Rhinolophus ferrumequinum: one gene and its partner. The protein of the gene in region 2 interacts with the protein of the main gene of each other region in a biochemical or structural test. Links are inferred from orthologs where the notes say so. Each region holds a gene or a part of one and is shown on either strand. Other genes may lie near its edges.

Evidence for each region. The genes of interacting proteins can lie anywhere in the genome.
Region 1: the proteins of RUFY1 (region 2) and RAB4A form a complex in vitro, tested with the Homo sapiens proteins (2 studies listed by BioGRID). The link is inferred for Rhinolophus ferrumequinum from reciprocal best matches to the Homo sapiens genes RUFY1 and RAB4A.

The regions. Positions count from the first base shown.
Region 1 is NC_046310.1:27,088,170-27,095,867, forward strand, and holds the start of RAB4A (ras-related protein Rab-4A), read right to left. Parts: upstream 3,028-7,698; 5' UTR 2,788-3,027; coding exon 2,757-2,787; intron 1-2,756. UniProt on the Homo sapiens protein: The small GTPases Rab are key regulators of intracellular membrane trafficking, from the formation of transport vesicles to their fusion with membranes.
Region 2 is NC_046307.1:2,763,671-2,771,499, reverse strand, and holds the start of RUFY1 (RUN and FYVE domain-containing protein 1), read right to left. Parts: upstream 3,032-7,829; 5' UTR 2,992-3,031; coding exon 2,694-2,991; intron 1-2,693. UniProt on the Homo sapiens protein: Activating adapter involved in cargo sorting from early/recycling endosomes. Regulates retrieval of proteins from endosomes to the trans-Golgi network through interaction with the dynein-dynactin complex.

The DNA of each region.
Region 1 (7,698 bases), on a different chromosome or scaffold from region 2:
ACCCTATTTCCAAATAAGGTCACAGTCACAGGTACTGGGGTTAGGACCTGCACATATCTTTTGCAGGACACAATTCAACCCACAACAGCCTATAATGATATATATCCCGATAATTTCAATATCCTGATAATTCTCAAAATTATGTAGTAAATACTATTATACTTTCAAAATAAAAACATTAAGGGTGTACTGTAATAAGAATTAGCACAGGACCAACAATTTGTGTTCTTGTTCCATAATTTGTTGTAGAAGGCATAAACTCCAGTGTGTAGAGAGAGATTTACCTTAGATTTTTCCTCTCTCAAACTGCCTCGGCCCTTAAACTTTTTATTTTTAATTCATAGCATTTTCTGCATCACTTAACACTTTTTAGCTCCTTTCTGAACTCCATTGCTGGGAACTATTAATACTTCTCTGATTTGTTAGTTTTGTCTCATAAATCTTGATTATCAGAAATTACTTAAAGCTAATTTGCGATCTCCCGTGTTAGATGGCTGCAGTTCCTTGGGAAGTCCCAAGCCAGCCTACTTGGCCAGGGCTTTCAAAGTGTCATGAACCTGGTAACATTTGGGAACCACTGTTTTAGTTGACGGCTATTCAGATTGAAGGTTTCAATCTGAAACTTCTGTGTTTATTTCAATTTTCTGTTACAATAATACATAGAGTTTTCATGTGGTTAGTGGTTTCAAAGCAGCAAAATGTTGCACACTCCTCAGTCTATGAGGGGATCAAATGCTTTAACAGGCACACAGAGGGCAGACAGAGCTCACTAACGGTACATTATAAGCCTGGCTCTTCCTTTTTCATCATCCCGGTCAAGCTACACAGAGCCTTCTTTCCCAGAAGAGAGAAAGTGAGCCCAGACTAGAAAGGAGTTTAAAGATTAGGCAAATATTCCTTTACCAGCTATCCAAGAGGCAAATGTGTGGGAGGAGGGCCCCTGATTGATTTACCTTTGGGGCACAATGCTGTGCAAAAATGGTCAATAAGGGAAGGTGACAGCTTAGGACTTGGTTTGGAGTGATTTTTAATTTTAGGTTGACACTTTCAATTTCCACATTTGCTCTTTCTAAAACTTATTTTCTATTTGTTTCCTCTAGAGAGAAAGATTAAATTCTGTTGGTAAAAAGTAAAAACATGTTTGGAAGTTACCATGAAATAAGAATACTGATGGTCAAAACCTTAGGATCAAATTTAATCAGTTACTGTGATGCTCAAAAGTTTAATTCACTGTCAGAAGGGAAGCAGAGATGCCAGAGGCATGCTCCATTTTATCAAGGTTATCATCCCATATAAGAGAAATGAACTCTTCCACTCATTTCTTATTATTTCATAACCCCACTGGCTTTTCTTATTTAGACTTTTCACCCCTTTCTTGTGCTCCTTATCCAGGTTAAAGAGGAGTGTGGAGGTTAGGAGCACTTGAAAATAAAGAAAAGCAAAAGTATAATCAAACATTGCTAGAGAAATATATTTTCTTTAAGAAATTCAACAGTGGTTCTCTATGGACCACGGGGATGTGACGGGATGTGACGTACTGTAGCATTTGCAGCTCTGACTACACTGGTCCTTGTGAAGCCAGCGACTTCCTGGAGGATCTCCAAAGCCTTCTAGGGACAGACCTGCTGCAGTGCCCCCCAGTGTCACCATGCATGTACCACTCCCAGGAGTGGCAGGACATGGAGCAAATGCACTGACCCACCCACCGCTCTCGGGAGAAAGACCACATCCTCGCACGAGGTCCTCTGTGCCTCGCCCTCAGGGCTCTCCCAGGGGCTGTGGGGCCCAAGCCACACTCCCCCAGTGGAACTGCATCTCCCTCCCGGCCTGGGCCTGGGCACGTGCTGTGCTGCCGTCCCCTGGCCCCCAGCCTGGGTTAGGTTTCTTTCTCACATACTTTCACAGACCACAGGCTTCGGAACTCCTGCCAGGGGTTTTAACTAGTCACTCGTCAGTGGCATAAGCAGGTCCGCACTGAACCCCCAGCCAGACCGCCCGCCCGCCGGGAGTCAGCGCCTTCCAGCGCGGCTCCGCACGCCCGTGCACACACACTTGCTGAAGGGGAAGGAGCAGCGTGACAGCACAAACGGAGACAAAAGTGATCCGACGTGAGGTACACACTTTTGAATCCGAGCCTCTGACCTGGGCTGTAAAACTCCCAATCGGCCTCGACCTGAATGCACACGCCGTTCAGGGCGACTAAAGCGGCGCCAGCTCAGCCCCGACAGGGCGGGCGCGCACACCGCGCACTTCACTTCTGTCGCGCAGGCCTCACACCCAGACGAAAACCGCGCGTGACTCCGCAAGGCTTCGGTTTATTCAAAAGGTATGTGCTGGGCGCCCGCAGGTGTGGGCGCCGACGGGAGCAGCGGCGCGCAAACGCGGGCCCCGGTGCTCGCGAGGTGCCCGCCGTCTGGAGACACTGCCAACGTCAGGCGCAACCAGAAGGGGCTGAACCCGAGGGGACACGAGCGGGGCACACGCCCCCGAGAGCCGCTCACAGAGCCGGCCCCACCCGTGACCCCGTGCAGGAGGGGGCTCCAAGGCAGCAAAGGTCCACCGGGGCCGCAGGCGTCGCCCGAGCCCGTCACGTCCCTCGCTGGGGACAATGCCGCAGATGGAACAGCCGCGAGCCGCCTTCCCAAACCCCGCGCTACGGAGACCAGACCGCGCCGAGAGGAACCCGGGGCGTCAGCGCGGCAGGAGGCCTGGACCGGGACGCACCGCCCGCCCGCCCCCGGCCCTGCGCCCGGTACCGTAGGTCTCCGACATGGCCGTCTGCGACATCTCGGGGCGGCACCGCCTCTCGCGGGTCCCGGCGCAGCTCCGGCCCGGCCGGCGGCAGGGGACGGGCGTGGTCGTCCCGGGGTCGTCCGGGGATCGTCCGGCTCGGTGGGCAACGGCGTGGGGCGGGGTCCGGAGGACGGAGGGGCCCGCGCGGTCTCTAAGACAACCGCCCGCCACCCCGCGGCTGCGGCCCCGCCGGACTGCCCATCCGCGCAGGCGCACCAGGCCCAGTCCCCGCCCGGGGACGCGCGTGCGCACGCAGCCCGGGGCCGGGCGGGGCGGGGCGGGGGGCGGGGCGGGGCGGGGGGCGGGGGACGGGAGGCGGGGAGCCGGGCGGGGCGGGGCGGGGCGGGGCGGGGCGGGGCGGGGCGGGGCCGGTGAAGTGAAAAATTCTTTGCATCTCGGTAACTTGGGATCTTTGAGACAAAATAAATTTCTCTTAATTAATCTTGGGAAGTGCTTTCATTCTGAGGTACTGTGGGGAAAGAAAACTTACGGCAAAACTCATCTGTGTTTTTCTTCGATTATTTTCTCCTTTCTCTTCAAGGGAGGTTTGTGAAAGAGTAAAAGCAGGTTTCCAAAAGCCTAGGCACATCGAAGATTTGTCTCAGGGAAACGAAGGGAGAAGCATTTCTTCCAAAATAGATCCCACCTGCTGCTAAGTAGCTGACACTGTCCTTCTTGCTCTCTGGCAATGCCTCACGGAGCCAGCCTCACAAGGATTCCTGTTCTCCAGGACTAGCAGAGGGTCACATGGGTGGGGACAGTGGTATCTGGAGGGTGGGGACAGTGGTATCTGGAGGGACGAGTGGGGACTGATGGACAATAACTGAAGGCGCCTGGGAACACCCATAGTTGGACCTAGAACAGTAGTAGCCCCGTTCCCTGAGGGGACCCTAAAAGGCCTAGGGATGAGAATCCAGCAGCATCCTGACATTTCGGGCAGCAGTGGCTTTGGGAGCAAAGGGACATGGCATCCTTGACGGAGCTAGGCTTGGTAGAGGGCACTGGTCACAGTCTCTATGGTGACTTTCCTTGGACGCTGAGCCAACGTGTGTGTCTGTCGGAATATTTAGGGACTCAGAAATATCTGGTGTTACTTTCAGAAGAAGTCAAGTTCCACACAGGTAGGTGGAGGCTTGAAAAACTGACCTCAATTAAACACCCAGGCGGTGATACCTGTGACATATAACTCATATCTTCAAGTTGGAAGAGACCTCAGAAGTGGATGGGCCAGTTTGCATTCCAGTGCCAAACAAAACGACCTCTGTAGCTGGATGTGTCTGTTAGGAAACATTCGGTCAGGATGGGCTAAATTAGCTGCAGTAACAAAGACCTCCCGATGTGCCTATGCCTGAAGTTTCTCTCACTTGACTCTTGTCCTGCTCACATTGGCAGAGAGACTCAGTTCCCTGTGGCCACGTGGAGACCCAGGATGACCCAGGTGTTGTGTAAACACACGCTCCCACCATGACTCAGGCAGGAGAAGGAAATGACATCACTTGTGCGTTAGCTCGTGAAGGTCCCATCAGGAGTTGATAGAATCCTTTCCCTTTACAATTCATAGGCCAAAGCAAGTGACGTGGCCACACCTAACTTCAAAGAGAACAGGGAGTGAGCTATTGTTGTGTTCTAGAAGGCAAGAAGGTAGATGCATGTGGAAAGACACGATGACCATCATGGGAGATTTTTACCCATCCAAGCAGCTCACTCTGCTTTTATTCCAAACAACTGTATGGAAGCATAACTGGGATAGCTACACATGTTTAAAGTATACACTTTGATAATTTTTTATGTATGTGTACACCTGTGCTCACTGCTACAGAGGTGTCACTACTCCTAGGCCTTTTCAATGGGCAGGGGCACTTTTTGCGATTCTGTTTTACCTTCTTCATTGCTCATTAGGAATAACTTCTTGTGAGATTATCTCAGTGCTTGTTTTAGGGTTTCTAGTGCAGGTTTCTAAGTGATCGCAGCCCACCTGCAGGTGCGATGCCATCTCACCTGGAGAATAAGAACGGCACAGAAGGTCTCCTCCACCCGCCCCTGTAATTGTGCTGTGGAGGTCCTACTTCCACATTTGTTGTACACCATACACATGTCATTCTTATTTCTGCTCTAAGCAGCCAATTTTCTCCCTTTTTAAAATTGTGGTCAAATGCACATAACATAAAATTTACCATCGCAACCATCTTTAAATGCACAGGTCAGTGGCATTAAGTTTACAATGGTTTCTCCCCATCCATGGGTTCAGTGACCCACAGTCAACCCTAGTCCAAAAACATTAAATGGAAAATTCCAGAAATAAACAAGTCATAGGTTTTAAATTACAAGCCGTTCTGAGTAATGCAATGAAATCTTGTGCCATCCTGCTACATCCCACCCATGAATCATTCCTTTGTCCCGTGTCTCCACGCTGTAGATGTTCCCCTCCTGTTAGTAGCCACCTCAGTTTCAGGCAACTGTCGTGGTATTGCAGAGATTGTGTTCAAGTCACCCGCATTTTATTGAATGATGGACCCAAAGTACAAGCACAGGGATGTTGGCAATTCAGATTTGCCAAAGAGAAGCTGGAAAATGCTGCTGTTTATTGGAAAGGTGAGTACACCTAGGGAAAAAAGATAGTATATCTAGGGTTTGCTACCATCTGTGGTTTCAGGCATCCACTGGGGGTCTTGGAATGTGTCCCTGCTGATAAGAGGGGACAATGTATTCACATCGTTGTGAGACCATCCCCACCATCTGCCTATGGGAACTCTTCATCTTGCAAAACTGAAACTCTGTCCCCATTAAACACTAACTCTCCGTCCCTCCTCCCCCAACCCCTTCTAATTTGTCTCTCTGTGAATCTGACGATTCTAGTAGCTCATATGAGTGAAATAACACAATATTTGTCCTTTTGTGACTGGCTTACTTCACACAACGTAATGTCCTCCAGGTTTATCCATGTTGTCGCCTATGTCAGAATTGCTTTCCTTGTTTAAGGCTGAATAGCATTCCACTGTATGCATAGACCACATTTTTTTAAAAATAGATTTAAGCAATAAGAACAAGTATTACATATTTACCCACAAAGTTACCATGTTTATGACTCCTCAGTCCCTCATGTGGACCCAGCATCCCACATGATGTCATTTCCCTTTTGTCCAAAGGACTTCCGGTAGCAGACCTCGAAGTGCAGGTCAGCTGGCAAAGACTTCTGCCAGCTTTTGTGTAGCTAAAAAGGATATTGCACTTGTTTTTGAGGGATAATTCTGCTAAGTTTAGATTTCTAAGTTAATAGTTTTATTTTTGTTCCCTTAATACAGCATTTTCTGGCTTATGTTGTTTCTGATAAGAAGTCTACTGCCATTTTTAGCTTTATTCCTTTGTAGGCAGTGCATCTTATCTCTGACTGTTTTAAAGATATGTTTATCACTAGTTTGAGTAGTTTGGTTACGATGTGCTATGCTGTGCTTCGGTGTGATTTTCATTATGGTTTTTGTCATGTCAGGCCACATGAATTTGTCCCATAGCTAACTGACACTCTGTTCATTTCTTGCCAGTCTCTGTGTTTCGTGTTGGATGGTTTCTATGCTATGTCTTTGAGTTCACTAATCTTTTCTGCAATATTTAATCTGCTGATAATCTCATCCAGTGTATTTTCCCTTTCAGACATTGTAATTTCATTTCTAGAAGTTCAATTGTGTATATGTATGTCATGCTCAGTACTTAATCTCTTCTCTACCTTCTTGAATGTATGGAATATGTTGTAATAATGGTTTTAATGTCATTTTCTACTAATTTTTATCATCAGTAATTTCTGAGACAGTTTCTAATGATTGCCTTTTCTCCTCATTATGAAGTATTTCCCTACTTTACATGTCAGGTAGGTTTTGATTGGCTGCCAGACATTTAGAGGTTTACTTGTTTAGTGAGACATACATGTTTCACTCGGCTCTGGTTGTGTCTTGGCCTTCTTGTTGTGTTTTGAACACACGAAGCAGGCTTTGGCCTCAGGGTCTCTGCACATGCTTTCTTGTCCGCCTGGCAGGCTCTCTGGAATGCCCTTGTCTCAGGTGTCTACATGGTGCTGCCCTCAGCCTTTCTGTTTTCTGCTCATACGGCGCCTCAACAATGAGGCCCTCCCACTCAGATATGAAACGGCAGCCCTTCTCCTCCCCAGAATTTCATACACCCCCTGCTTTGGGTCCCCCCACTCCACAGCATTGAACACCTTCTAACACATATATTGATTATTTTTATATTGTCTGCTCCCATTTAGATTATAAACTATATAAGGGAAAGGGTTGTGTCTGTCTTATTCTCTTCTCTACCCTCATGGCTAAAATGGTATTTGGCACATAGTAAACTCTCAATAATTAAATAGTTGTTTAATGAATAAAATAAAACTCAGTAGCTCTCTATTTAATATGGATTTAATTTAATGTAATGCACTTAATTTCAAACTTGTTGATTTATTTTATTTTATTTTTGTATTAGTTTCAGGTGTACAAAACAATGTAATAGTTAGACATTTATCATTTATATCCCTCACTTTTGTAACCCTCCCCATCCACTACCCCTCTGACGTCGCACACAGCCATTACATTTCCATTGTCTCTATTCCTAATACTGTACTCCACTTATAAATATATATATTAAAATTATAGTTGACATTCATTATTGTTCAGCTTCAGCTTCAGGTGTACAGTGCAGTGATCAGGCATCTATATCATCTCTGCGGTGGTCTCCCTAATGAGACAAGTGTCCATCGGATACCCTACAAAATCTTTACAACATTATTGATTACATTCCCCAAATTTTCAAAACCCCAAGGCCATCTTGTGGTTACTGACTGTTTTCTAATCCCCTCACCTTCCCCCTTATCCCCTACCCCCTCCCATCTAGCAACCCTCAGTTTTTCTTTTA
Region 2 (7,829 bases):
TACAAGCATACACACCCTTTGAAAGATCGAACAGGATTGAGGTCAGTTTCTGGAATGAAGGACTGCCTCTATACAAGTCTTCTTTAGTATGGTTAGATGTTTTTTTTCCCCCACCATGCACGTTTATTATCTTAAAAAAATAAATCAGGGAGGCTGGATGGCCCAGTTGTTTAGAGCGCAAGCTCTGAACAACAGGGTTGCCGGTTTGATTCCCACAAGGGCCAGTGAGCTGTGCCCTCCACAACAACTTGGAGCTGATGGGCCCTGGAGAAACACACTGTTCCCCAATAATAAATAAATGAAAGAAAGAGAAAGAGAGAGAGAAAGAATATTTAAAAAATAAAAAACCAAATAAGACAACTATGTGAATGCAATTGCTGTGGCCTGCTGTGCTGCTACCAGACCTCACGTGGGATAATGCTGTACAACAAATACTCAGAGCATTCCACAACATTCCACAGTGTTTCCCTTTAACCTTTATTACCCCCAATTTTTTTCTGGGATGGGGCCTGCTGACACTCGACCTCTGTTCCTTCACTGCTCCCTCTGACAACGCTGCATCCTCATCACTTATGGAAGCAGATTGGTGGGAAAGACACGAATGAGCCTGCTGAAGCGGGGCCACTGTCTTCTCCTGACCTGCTGTTCGGGGGCCTCTGCCCAGCCTGGTGCCCGGGTCCACCTCCTTTCGCCACCTCCACTCCTGTCCTATTGGATGGCTCCAAATCCCGGTGACCTTCGTGGACTAGCCCACAGCTTCTCCCAGCTGTTTCCCACATTTCAGTCCTTGTTCAGTCATGTTCACAATTTTTGCCAGATCTGAGTGGCATTTATTTAATATTTTCATTAAAATATTAAATCTAATTAAAAAATCCATACGCATATATTAAGGCATTTTACCATAAAACTATTTAGAGGTATCGAGGCATTGGGGTGTTGTGACTAACAGCATGGCTTGAGAGGCAGGTGTCTTGGTTCAAGTATGGGCTCTGCCATTTCTAAGTTACTCTTTAAGTCAGTTTCCCTCCTTTCTAAAACGGGGATAAAATGGTACCTATCACATGGGCTGGCTCCATGTGGAAAGGCGAGGAAGTCAGTCTCCCCTTCGTGGGTCCTAAGGCATTGCACCTTCCTACAGAGATGGGGACCACCCTCTGGGGAGGATGAGAGGCCCGGTTGCCTGCCTACTGTGCTGTGGCACTGCCAGCCTGGTGCGGCATGGCAGTGGACACTCTAAGATTCAAAAGGCAAGACCCCAACCCTGCTTAGGCCAGCAGTGCCCCAGGGTAGTCTGAGTGGGCCAGGGCGGCTGAGAACCTGTCCCACGGAGGCAGTGGAAGGTGGGACCACACGTGAGTCCGACTCCAAGACCCCCACACATGCTCCTTTGTTCGCTCCTTCACTTACAAAACACAAATTCAGAGATATAATTACTAAGAATTTCAAGCATGGGTCATTTCTCAGTGCCTGTCCCTGTTGGACCACATTAACCAAAGCCTGCATCGATTACACACCATGAAGCCAGTCCTGCTATTATGCAGGATTACAGTGAGGATTAAATGAATTATGTACAGATCTAAGACTAATAACTGGCACCCAGTAAGCACAATACAAGTGTTGGCTATTATTCATAGCTCATAAATGGAAAACAAGTATTTTTCAAATAGGCATTTGTTCGAATATTTATTATTCTGAGCTAGGCACTGTTCTGGGCATTGGAACATTTTATTCATCAGTGAACAGGTAACATTATTTGCTTACTACCTACCATGAACTATCTGAGAGGCCTCCAGAAGACCCCAGGCCTTGACTCTGGGACTGACTGCCAGTGGGTGGGTGTGCAAACACTCACTGACATGCACAAAGCGGGCAAGGGATTGGGGACCAGATTCCTGGGTAGAGCAGCCCCTCATTACCTTTTAGTCCTACTTTCCATTGTCAGAATCTGAAAAGAAGTCAGATTTTAAACTTTACTCCTTAATCTTTCTTAACCACTGAGATTCTCAAAATTCACTATTCTGGAAAAGTTGCCAGTGGGTAGGACAGAATCAAGAAACCTCCAAGGCACACTAATGCTTCTTAAAGAGCACTCCAGTCTTTAGTCAGCTCTGCCCCACAGCACTTTCCTATGCAGAAGAAAATGTCCCCAGTGCACTATGCAATACGTAGCCACAAGCCCCCCGTGGGCCACTGAGTCACACATTTAATGTTTCCATTCTTCTCACTAATGACAAGGGCTGAAAGCACTGTAGGGAATCACTGGGTGAATCAAAACTCCCCATTTTACTGGCTGGGAAATGTGGTGACTTGACTCCTTGCGGAGAGTGGATGCGCTGTCACACCTGCAGGTGTGAGCTGGGCTGGCATTTTGAGATTTACGGCAGAAGTCCTGGATTTACTTAAGTGCTTTTTAAATCCCATACAGATAACCTGAGCTCAAACTCGTACATTTTCTTAAGGCCCACCAATGAATATAACGACGTTGTCTGGGGAACACAAGTGGGAGTCACCACCCAAGCCACGAATTCATCTCTGCGCAGCCGCAGAGTGTAGAGAAATCAGAAGAGAAGCCAGGCGCGTGAACACACTGGCTTCTTACGACCAGTCTAACAGGGTCTTGTCTGCCGCCCTCCTACAGCCAACCACCCCCTGACCCGAGCGGAGAACGGGCGGGACGCGCTCGCCGGACCTACCTGCCGGCGCCGCGCCGTCGGCGCCGCCGCCCGCGCTGCCCAGTCCCGCGGCCGCACGCAGCGCGCTCCCGCAGCTCGCCGACAGGTTGCCGGTGGCCCTGCGCGCCAGGGTCAGGATGGGCGCGGACCAGCCGTCCGCCGCGGCCCGCCGTCTCGCTGCACTCCGCAGCTCGCCCGGGCCCGGCAGCTGGCTCCGGTCCACGATCTCGAACTCTTCTCCCGGCTCCGGCTCCTGCGCCTGCTCCGGCCCTGGCCCGAGCTCCCGCCCCGCCGAGCAGCTGGCTCCCCCGTCGGCCATCTTGGCCGCGTCACGTGGCCCGAGCGGGCCGCGTGCTCGGGGCGGGCGGGCCGGCGCTCTCACACCCTTGCTGTCCTGTTTTCCTGTTCGCGACGTCGGTCTTCTTCTTCACCACCCTCCCTCCCTCCCTCCCTCCCACTCTAAGTAGGTTCAGGAAAGTACCGGTCATAACCTAAGGAGCGCCCCTATTCCCACCAGTCGGGAGGACTTTTTTCCGTGAAGTTACTCTTGGTCCCAGCCTAGAACACAGCCCACATGGCCTTAGTTTTCTTTGTGACACGAGTTCCTCTTTTTTATTTTCATTTCATATTTTGCTTTTTCTATTTCACTTTTCTGCAGCAGTCTTCAGAACAAGCAAAAGGGCGGGTAAGGAAACGGACTGGAGAGGTAGGAAACAGAAGTTTTAAAAAATTACGGACCTAATGCCACAGCTTGGCAGAAAATCCACTGAGGTGGATTGGAAATCTGAAGGTCCAGATTCTGCTATTAATTGGCTAAAGGGGGACAATAACAACCTACCTCATTATTTAAGTAAGATTTTGCAGTAAGGAGCACGGAGCAAACGTTAGCAATCGTGATGGCTGTTACCCAACTATGCGGCTTAGGCAAGGCACTCTTAACGACTTATAGCCTGTTTTGGCACTTGGAAAAGAAGGGAATTTGACAAAGTAGAAACTCAAATTTCACCAGCATTTGACACTTTTTTTTTTTTTTTTTTTTTGCAAAGTGCTGCACGTGGGCACCATCAAACAAGCAGAACTGTTTGGTTTGACTCCCAGAGTGCTTACATTTTAAATTTTCAGGTTGTTGCAGATATCTAGAAATCAACCGGTTTTGCATAAAAAGCTGGATTTTGGCTGTCCCTTGAAGCATCGGAAGATTTGGCAACTCAGTATGTTTGCTGATGGCGGCGAACTAGTGGAGTGGGCAGTGGCTGCCCTTCAGAAGCCCAGGTTCTCTAGGCGTGTAGGTCCAGCCCAGTGTACTAGTCATGATCTGCCTGATCCCTGAAGGCCAATTGTTTTTTGTGGAGTGGGGAGTGAGTGGGGGAATTGGTGGGGATGACATTTGAGTTGTCACAGTGATTGAGGAGTGGAGGGGCGGATGGGGTGTCGGGTAGTTTGGAATGACAAAGAGTTGTCCAGGATCCTTCAGGACTCTCCTTCCCCCTGGACATTCATGTAAGTGCAAAGCTTGTTTATAATGATCAGAGCCTGGAGCCTAATTCCATTTTGCATAAAAACATAAACTATTCTTGAGGGGAACAGTTTTAATACTATATCAGGCTAGGTTATGCTTCAGTAACAACCCCCAAATATCAGTATCTTCCCATAACAGAAGTTTGTCATTATGCCGGGCTGTTGGAGGTTCTGTCACTTGGAGCAGTTTTGCATCAATAGTAAATGCCCCAGCCTTGAAGTGATTATTCCCTTATACACATTTCATTGGCCAAAGCAAGTCACATAGCAACTCTAACTTCAATAGAATTGGGAAGTTCAATCCTATTAGTGGAATAGGAGAACTGGGAATATTGGTGAACAGAATAATGACTACCAGAAATGCATTTTGAATTTTCCCAGAATGCAACAAAATTGATTTGTTCAGAACCTAAAAGTTATTAACCGTTTCAGAACATCATGTCACCCACAACAATGCTGGAGATGTTAAGATGATGCCAGTGCTGTCTGTCACAGTCATGGCTATTTTATATAAAGGTACAAATAGTTACATTGCTTTTAGTGGTAGTTGTGCCTCATTTACATATTGAAATACATATTATGGAGTTATTTCTCTTAGGACATACTAATTTTTTGAGATTTTGAGTGTTGGTAGGTAGGTTTATTATCTATGAATTTCATTTCAGAATTGTAAATGGGGCATTATAGAAGATATACCGTGTTTCCCCGAAAATAAGACCTAGCTGGATGATCAGCTCTAATGCGTCTTTTGGAGCAAAAGTTAATAGAATGAAGAGGCAACCTGAAGAGACCAGAATTACCTGCTGGGAAAGATTGGTTTTTGTCAATTGGGGGAACTTGAATGTGGATATTAGATATTGCAGAATTAATTTTTTAAGTATGATAATGGATTGTGGGTGTGTAGGAAAAGGCCTTTATTTTTACAGCTGCATTAGAGTATCAAGTAGTGATATGTTATGATGTCTATAATTTATTTTAAAATACTTCAGCAAAAGAAAATAGATGATGCAAATGTGGCAAGAGCTTGACACTTTTGAAATCTAGGTAACAAGTGTACGAGAGTTATTACATATTCCCTCTACTTTTCTGAATGTCTGTATTTTCATAAGAAAAAGTAAAAAGATATGTAAAAAAGTGAATCTGTTTGCAACAGCAGCCAATGTTCCATGAAGTGAAAAATCACCAAAAAAGGCTTGACATTTTTTTTTTAAAAAATGAAAACATAAATTAAGAAAATAAGTATATTTGATCTTATATTTAATAAAATGTAGACTATGCTTGCAACCATGTGCTGGTTTTTAGAATGAATACAAAAATGAACAAATGCTGATTCTTTTGTATAATTTTTCTGAAAAATTACCTGATATCAAGACATAGCATCATTCATTTTAGCTGATTTATGGTGGACTCAGAAAGAGGGTCCAAAACTTAGGCTTCATCTTATTTCTCAAGTTCTCTTCAATCTTTTATAGACCTATCATATCTCTTTTTTTCCCCTGTGGTTCCATTTCCATTTTAGTTGTATCTGTTTGCACATAGCTAGTACTCAAGCGAATAGGCCAAAAGCAGTAAACTAATCCTGTTCACAATGCTATTCATTCTTCTGGCTGCTTTCATGGGATTGCTTATTGGAAAACACAAGCCATTTTATGGTATTATTACTCTATACTGTGAGCCTATCTGAGCTCACTCTTTACTTTTAATATAAGTTGTAAATTCATTATTTTTTTCCAACCATTCTGTTTTGAAGTTCATCAGCGTTGACTTCCTTTTCTGCCGACCCTACGTGTAGGGGCTTTGTGTGGGAATTGAGGGGGACCTGAGCATCACTTTTGTTTACTCGTGAAATCTTGCATCCTGTGCAAGATGCACAGTTTCACTGTACAGTTGATTGGCCTTGTAGACATCTGCCAGCTGGTGAGAGACTGGCTGGCCATCGGGTCCGTACTGGGGACAGTGCTTTGGGCTTCAGCAGGAAGTGAGCTTTGAGGAGGGACTAATTTTATAAGCGGTAACAGATTTTATAAGGGGTACTGCTAACATACTCATTAGTGAATATTTTAATTTTATGAAGACTTGCTTCTCTAAATGGCCTTGTAACTGCAGGGACTAGGGCAAAATACCCACAGGTGAATATTTTGAGTTTAAAACTTGTAGCTTGTTGTGGTGGCTGTGACTGACTGAGATGCAGGTGCTGTTTCTGAGATGGCATCCATCAATGTCTAGCAGGTGAAAGCGTAATCACCTAATAGGAAAACTCTCCTTACTCACTATACTTCTGATGCTAATTGCGCAGAGTGGGTGCAGACCCCACAAGACTGCAGAGGCCAATCACTAGTGTGGGCCTCTGGTACTTTTGACCGACTGGCTATCAACTGGGGATTTGCACGACCCCCTCCTTGGATTTGGCAATTTACTAGCATGACTCACGGTATTGAGGAAAGCACTTTAACCGTTGATTGCAAAGGATACAACTCAGGAACAGCTAACTGGTAGAGATATGTGGGACAAGCTGTGTGAGACAGATGTGGAGTGGCTATGCCCCTCTGGGCACGCCATCCTCCCAGCACCTTGATGTGTTCAGCAACCTGGAAGATCTCTGAACCTCATTGTTGAGGCTTTTTATGGAGGTTCCATGACTTGGGCAGGATTGATGAAGTTGGGTGGTTGAACTCAATCTCTAGCCCCTCTCACGTCCCTGGAGGTCCAGTGGTGGGGATGAATGTTCCAACCCTCTAATTACATGGTTGATTCTTTTGACAACAGCCCTCATCCTCCCTGAGTCACCTCATCAGCATAAACTCAGGTATGGTTGAATGGCACTTATTAGAAATAACGAAAGATACAACTATGTCCCCCATTACTCAGGAAAAGTACACGGGTTTTAGGAGCTCTGTGCCAGGAACCAGGAGCAGAGACCAAATATTGTTTCTTATCCTTCTCCTCCTCCTCCCCCTTCTTATTCTATACAGTGTTTCTTTATGAACAAATTGTACCACACAAATCAGGTTATCTCTTCTATCTGTATTTACAGAAGCAACAGAATATTTTACTAGGAGATATTCTGTACCTGGACCAGACGACTGGAACATGGAGTGGACATCTAATGACCAAGAAGGTAAAACTGGCAACTGTTGTGCAACTTCTCGGAGAAGATTCGAGTGTGTTTTCTACGTCTTTGATAATAAGCTGCTCACCAGCAGGGATAGGATAACACGTTAAGGGGGTGATGTGGCCAGAGAAGGGGTGATGTAGGACACCACAGGGAGCTAAACCAGGACAAGGAGCAGAGGCATGTCAGCTTAGGTTAAACACCAAGCCCGGACAGCGCCCTGCAGTGGGACCGCCCCAAGGTACCGCATCCCTTTGCGAGCTGAAATTGGGCGAGTCCTCATCTGGGCACTTTGTTTTGAGAATTCAATTAGTCGTTACAAAAAAGGGATTTATTTTTAAAGTAGATGCAACTTAGAGAGAGAAAGTTAAACATTAGGAAAGTATTAACTTCTTGAGACCTCAAAAACTATTTTTTTATTAAAGTTTATTGTGGTGACAATTGTTAGTAAAGTTACATAGATTTCAGGTGTACAATTCTGTATTACATCATCTATAAATCACATTGTGTGTTCACCACCCAGAGTC